Linked DNA regions of Danio rerio. The protein of the gene in region 1 purifies or fractionates together with the protein of each later gene. This does not show direct contact. Links are inferred from orthologs where the notes say so. Each region holds a gene or a part of one and is shown in the gene's direction. Other genes may lie near its edges.

Region 1 (3,494 bases):
TCAGTAAAGCCGGTTCTAGTAAAAACGCGTTTAGATCAGGGGGGCCCAAACTTTTTCTTTTGAAGGGCAAAAATAAAAACAAACTTAAGGGCTGTGGGCTGGAGGTTAATATTGCAAAATGTATTAAAGCTGATTTATAATTCGGCCTGCCTTGCGCATAGCTGTGCATAAATACTTCTTTGCGTTGTTTCTGTTGCTCTGCAGTAACACCTCCGAAACGCTAGCAGGCAGTAGGTTTTTATGTTCCTCTGTGTTGAGTTTCTTCGCTGGTGTTTTTGTTTTCTTTCTGAATGCTACTTTAATGTACAAGTAGCTCAAACTAACTCATTTTGAGGCGGGAATCAGCAGACGTGCAGCAACTTTAATCATAAGGTAAACACAAAACAACAATTTCCATCCGGAGCGCCTTCATGGAACTCCACACTTGTAAACAATCGCTCCATCAGGCTCGCGCGGCTCTCACCTCCACCCACACTCGTCAGCACTACCAAGCCGAACAATCCCAGAGCTTGCGTTATGCATCATTGCGATGTGTAGTTTCATTTTTTCAGCGTCGACGCCGGCCACACAGAAGTATAAATCAGCCTTAAACCGAAAAGAAAATAAATGAATGTATGAATGTGGTGTGCAAATAAATTTTTTGGGGGGTAATAATTTTTTTGCCAAAGCTACATTTTTGTCGACTTCGGTGTCATGTCCTACAGAAGCAGATTTTCATTTAATAATAATAATAATATTAATAAATTATATATTTATATATATATTTATCTTAGTGACTAAACTTTAAGCAGTGACCTATTGTATATTTCATATATTTTCTGTATACTTAATGTAAAATGCAGATTATTATTATTATTTTTTGTCTTTCTTGTTTGTGTATTATTATATATGCGTTAAGTCTTTTTAATTGAAATTTGGGCAATTTCTATTGTTTTTAGCCTAATTTGCTCTGGTAAGTTCTGCTGACGAGCTGTAATTGTAAAAATGTTATTGGTTGAAGCATATCACATGGTGTGTATGTCCTTGGTTGCCTTGGCGTTTATAGCATTACTCTGCCCTTGCAGCCTAAGGTCATTCCCAATGCTATATGTGGCATATGTCAGAAGGGTAAGGAGGCCAACAAGCGAGGCAAACCAGAGGCTCTCATCCACTGCTCCCAGTGCCAAAACAGCGGTAAGTCAAAAGCAGCTCTTTCTGAAGCAGTCCTTGCTTTTCAGTTTAAATGGCACCTTCTGAAACAAGTAGTATAAAACACAAAAAACGAAATCGAAAATCATTTTAGTTTTAAAATACATGTTTTAATTCAAAACTCTAGGTTCTAGTTATTAGTAATTTGTATCTGCTATTATAAGTAGGACATAAAGTTGCGGTAACACTTTATAATAAGGTTCTGTTAATTAGTTTGACACAACCGTCCTGGATGTACTTTATCCTGCTTATTACACAAATACTTGACACGAAAACATAAATATTAGACACAAAACATCTGAGCCGTAATAGTTTATTCAATCTTTAATTAAATGCAAAGCAGACCGAAACAAAAACGGCTGATGGAGTATACACTAACCTGTGAGTAATTCAGACACAATATTGTGACAAACTGTCAACAATGCAAAGTTTGACCGAAACAAAACTAGCTGCATAAAGCATAGACTTACCTATGTATTATTAACGGTTAAAAGCCGAGGCATGATAGACAAGCAGATACATATGAACGTAGGTATAATTATTTGGATGTGACAGCCTGATCTCTGGCGTTTTGTCAGTTTAGTGAATTTGTACGAATTCAGTCTTCTGAAATTGTAAAATTTTTAAAAAGGAGGTGTGGCAACCTACTGCGCCCCTAAACCCAATCGTCACTCGTAAATTGATGAGCAAATTGTATGAATAAGATGGTACAAATTCATACGAATTGGCCACTAAATCAAAAAGTTACGAATTGCCGTGAGAACGTGTTGCATGTGAACGTATTCGCTGACCCTGAAGGTGATTCAAAATTTTCTGCGTTAAGCCATTGTTAACTAAGAATAACATACTGAATATTGTCACTGGCCAATCAGAATTGAGTATTCAAGACAGCTGTGTAATGAGTAAGGGATAAAGTACATCCAAGCGCAAAATGAAGGCCCGACAGGCTAATCAGCTGCCTGACGTTAAACGGAGCACTGTTGTATAAGACTGAAGGGCTTTAATCTGCGAAAATCATGCAACAGGATATAGTTTATCCCATTTATTTCATGGCGACATTTCACAATATGTACAAATTGGACAGAACTGTTTTGAAACATGAGTTGAATAATTCTTTAAATAAAAGCAAAGCTGACAGAAACGAAAACGGCTGAATGGAGCATACACTAACCTACGTATTATCTTGTCGCAAAATGGCGCCAGAGACAGACAAGCATATAAATATGGAGGTAAACGCATTCACTGACAGTCAAGATGATTTGAAGTACCTAGATGAGCCTGTGTTATTAGTTTAAGTGGTTGTTATCTGGGAATAGCATGCCTTGGGATGCAGCGACTGACTAATCAGAATTGAGTATTCCAAACTGCCGTGTAATAATGATCTACTAACATGAACAGTTTATTACAGTGGTAATTAATCTTTGTATTTTAAATTTTGGGTTTTAATAATGCATCAGTGAATGTTGAACTGTGATTAATAAATGCCATGCAAGTATTCTGCGTTCATGTTCGTAAATACGTTTAACGTTAACAAATAGAACCTTACTATGAAGTGTGATATTTTTTGTGTATGCTTTTTGAGTGTTTTAATCCGTTTTATACACTTGTGTTTCTGACTTAAACGGAATATTGAGTAGGGTGCGGGGCTTTCTTTTTGCGCATCATTCCCTCATAGAAAACTAATGGTGAGAGGGGCGTGGTTAAGAATACTGTGGCCGAACCATCAAACTGACATCATCAAACACAGTTCAAACACAAGCAAGTGCTCAGATGATTACCAATAAACTTTTTTCAATGGATTACCTTGCGTACGTTAATTGTTTATTTAAAAATAAAAATGTGCGTTAGCAAATTGTTTACATTTTGATTTACCTTTTGATTTCGAATATGTTTTAGATTTTTGAATACATTTTGATTTTACACGCATTTTAATATATACAGCACTCTGTTTTTAAAGCCTTTTCATCATCCTGTTGATAAAAAAAAAAAGTTCTCGTGTATCATTTCTTAAGTTTCTGCTTGCTGGAAAAGATACGTTTTTGTGTGAATGGCTAATGATGATGATGATGATGATGATGATGGTGATGGTGATGGTGATGGTGATGGTTATGATGGCCTTGTTTGTGCTCAGGTCACCCGTCCTGCTTGGACATGAGTGTGGATCTGGTGGCCAAGATCAAGATGTACCCGTGGCAGTGTATGGAGTGTAAGACGTGCACCGTGTGTCAGCAGCCCCATCATGAGGAGGAGATGATGTTCTGTGATAAGTGTGATCGAGGCTTTCACACTTTCTGTGTGGGCATGGA
Region 2 (3,757 bases), on another chromosome or scaffold:
GTTGAGGGCGGCGTGATTGTCCTCTGCCTAGAGCGGCAGTTCAGCTTGCTCCGGCCCTGTGTGGGAAGCACCAACATGTTTTATCATGCTAAATGCATTTTAAGGTTCTGTTATAATGCTGCTTTGTGAGCTCTAACAAAACACAAAACATGTTAAACATCTTTGGTGTTTCCCACTACATGTTTTCTATAAAACCAAACCAAGGGTGGTCAAGGGTATTTGACATAATTAGCATGGGAACACAGGACATGGTCCTTGTCACTAAAACTGCTTATTTCTTTGGACTTAAACATTTTTGAAAGCATTACCAGAAAATAATAAAAAATATATAACACTATGAAAAGGCGACACGGTGGCTCAGTGGTTAGCACTTTCACCTCACAGCAAGAAGGTCACTGGTTTGAGTGCCAACTGGGTCAGTCGGCATTTCTGTCTGAAGTTTGCATGGTCTCCCCGTGTGGGCGTGGGTTTCCCCCACAGTCCAAAGACATGCGCTATAGGTGAATTGGGTAAGCTTAATTGTCTTTTGTGTGAGTGTTTCTGAGTTTGTATGGGTGTTTCCCAGTACTGGGTTGCAGCTAGAAGGGATCCGCTGTGTTAAAAATATGCTGGATAAGTTGATGGTTCATTCCGCTGTGGCGACCTCAGATTAATAAAGTGACAAAGCTGAAGAAAATTGAATAAATTAATAAATGAACATGTTCATTTACACGTTCATCTTACATGTTTTGCCTTTACATTGTTGGTTATGTTTTGGGTTAAATCATAGGCAAGTGAATGTGCAAATTAGCGTCTTTGCTAATAATGCACTCACATATATAACCTCTGCAATGTTAAAGACTATTTGGCTAAAATACATTATGATTTTCAAAATGTAGCAATCTTTTGATCTCAACAAACGTTACTCTTTCTCCTTTCAGGGTCTCTGTTGGAAAGTGTGCTTCCAGCTGAAATCACCATGGACGCATTTGCCTCAGATATATTGGGCTTTTCTGTCGCCACCCAGGAGCTCCATCAAGAACACCACGGACAGGAGTCATAATATATTTACATTTCCCTGCTTATGTTCATGCGTTGTCAATAAGTAATGTATTTTAAAACAGATGGACTGTTATTGTGTGGTTAGCGAGCTGTTGTGTTATATGTTTGCGTTCAATTCTTTCGCATAGAGATAAAATCATACGAAAATAAAACATGTCGTTTGTCAACATGCTGTCGATTGAAGTCTCCATTTTTTCCAGATACATTTATAAAACGTGTGTTGATGTCGTGGTGCTGGTTTCGATTCGCTCGTCTAGCTCAGCAATCTGATAAAATATCGTTTTCTTTGCTCTGTTCGCCAACAAAGGAGCGAAACGCGTACCCGCATTGACCGTGTCTCTCATGCTTCGAGGGCATTTGGCTTCAGCGCAGGCGCACAAACCCCGCCTCTCTCCTGTGCTGTGTGCATTCGCATTGTGTCTAAACAGGCAGCGAGCAAAAAGATATTTTACCAACAGCAGTAATGTCGGGCAGGTCGGTTCGAGCGGAGACGCGGAGCAGGGCGAAAGATGACATCAAGCGGGTTATGGCTGCAATTGAAAAAGTGCGGAAATGGTAAGAGAGAGCGTCTATCCGTTAACGAACAGCACAGACAGCCTGTGGGGGAGGAGAGACACCGAGAAACAATGAAATGAAAGCGAAGAGAGCGTTTATTCCACTCCAATTTCACTCAGATGTACTGTTTCTGCGATTCTGCGCGCGGCTGCTCCTTTGTCGGCTGTGTGAAAACATAGTTTGGGAAAATGTAGATCGCGTTTTTTCTTCCATTAAATTTTTATGTGGGTTGAACCTAGAAGCCATTTCGTTGCAGTCACATGAAGGCTTTGCTGTTAGAGCCTGTAATGCCGGCTGAATAGTAACCGAACGGGCTGACATGAGGAAACTAGAGTGAACCGTCCGTACCGAACAGAAAGTGCCGGTGAACGGGCGTTTGACTCGTTCATCTCGTGTTGAAAGTGAGAGAGTCGCGCTTTGAGCGGCGGCGCGTGAGGAGAGTTTGATCCACGCGCGGGGTTTTAAACTCAGCCCTGAGCCGCAGTTTCACATACACTTTTTTACACTTCAAGCAACTGCTGGGGATTTCGTTTAAACTTAAGTTTAAGTTGAATTAAGGGTTTTCAAACCATGACAAATTATTTGTTGGACTAACAATAATTACCAAAACAATATTTATTCTATAAAAGTATACATGTTAAATGAGAAACAATCGTGTTTTTGTGGCAACGTGCGATTAAAATTGTACACATCTGTGAGCTAGTGAACTGCATTATTATTAGTATTTATTTTTATGATAATAATTATTTACTATTGATATCGATAATTTGTTCAGTTGCATATTCTGCAAATGCATCTTGCCTAAATAATGGCTCATCTGAGATTTCTTATGCCTCTAAATGTAAGTGATTTAGTGGTTTGTCCTCATTTGTCTGGCGTTTCCTTTGTCTTTGATATCTAACAATAACATGCATCTCCAGGGAGAAGAAATGGGTGACTGTTGGTGACACGTCACTGCGAATCTACAAGTGGGTACCAGTGACGGAGCCCAAGTCAGATGATGTAAGTGACATTTATTTACAATAACGCACAGCTGTTGCAGTTTTGATAACCTAATAATTATTGTAACATTATGGACCACAACCAACAAATTCATTTGAAAGTTGGAACAAAATAGTCAAGGTAAAATATGACGCAAATGACTTTTTAATGAGTAATTCTATAGTTATTATTTTTTTAATTTAGTAAAGGTAAATTAGTAGTGGTATTCGTTGAGGGGGAAACATATTTCAGTTGTAGCATAACACAGACCAGTATTATTGTTTTTAACAGAGATTAAATTCATATTTATTTTAAATAAAATAAGTTAACTAAAATGAGTCGTATTTAAAACAGACACAACATATTTTACTATCTTCTTCATATGCCTTGATTGCAATATGTATTTATGTCACACAGAAGAACAAAAATAAGAAGAAAGGCAAAGATGACAAGTATGGCTCTGAGGTCACGACCCCTGAGAACAGCTCCTCTCCTGGAATGATGGATATGCATGGTAAAACTGTACACCTAAACACATCTCAATGTTTTACCTTTTTCAAATTAGTATTACATGCAGTAGTCTTTAAACCAATTTATGTGAGAATTTCAAATTGTGTTCTTTGTGATCCTCAAACAGTTGGTCTAATATGCATGACTAAGATTTTGAAGTGTTACCTGCTTTTTATTAGAAAAAAATCATTATTATAATTATTAATGATGGCAGCTTTGAATGTGCATTTTTTCCTCTTAACCAATAGAGGGAGTTGATGAAACAGTTTTACTCTGTGAACTGGTTATTTGCTATGCTATTCCGACCTGTAACCACCTATTAACAGTTACAAATGCATGGACATTTTCAGATATTAAAACTTTTTTTGTTTCTATTTTTTTACCCACAGATGACAACAGTAACCAGAGCTCGATTGCGGACTCTTCCCCATTGAAGCAGGAAACCAGCAACAACACTAGTCCAGCACCTGAGCCCATGGCCGCTTCTCAGAATGACAGCAGTGACTTGAAAAACGACCAGTATCCTTCCAAACAGCCTTCATCTGGTCAGGATCATAAGAGTGGTTTGTGCATTGAATCCTCTAGAGGCTTACTATCCACTTGTCTGTGTTTTTGGTTTGTTTGTTTTAATGAAACCTTGTCATTATTTTCAGAACAAAACCACTGCTCA

Evidence for each region.
Region 2: the proteins of phf10 (region 1) and bcl7a purify together in Homo sapiens (affinity purification with mass spectrometry; 3 studies listed by BioGRID and IntAct, counting the BioPlex papers as one, with this or other methods). This does not show direct contact. The link is inferred for Danio rerio from reciprocal best matches to the Homo sapiens genes PHF10 and BCL7A.

The regions. Positions count from the first base shown.
Region 1 is NC_133188.1:6,026,728-6,030,221, forward strand, and holds part of phf10 (PHD finger protein 10), read left to right. Parts: intron 1-1,064; coding exon 1,065-1,173; intron 1,174-3,319; coding exon 3,320-3,494. UniProt on the Homo sapiens protein: Involved in transcription activity regulation by chromatin remodeling. Belongs to the neural progenitors-specific chromatin remodeling complex (npBAF complex) and is required for the proliferation of neural progenitors.
Region 2 is NC_133180.1:42,613,645-42,617,401, forward strand, and holds the start of bcl7a (B-cell CLL/lymphoma 7 protein family member A), read left to right. Parts: upstream 1-1,439; 5' UTR 1,440-1,504; coding exon 1,505-1,596; exon of another isoform or gene 1,597-2,435; coding exon of another isoform or gene 2,436-2,437; intron 2,438-2,516; coding exon 2,517-2,598; intron 2,599-2,994; coding exon 2,995-3,091; intron 3,092-3,476; coding exon 3,477-3,632; coding exon of another isoform or gene 3,633-3,650; intron 3,651-3,740; coding exon 3,741-3,757. Other genes in the region: cfap251 (cilia- and flagella-associated protein 251), read left to right, coding at 921-1,042.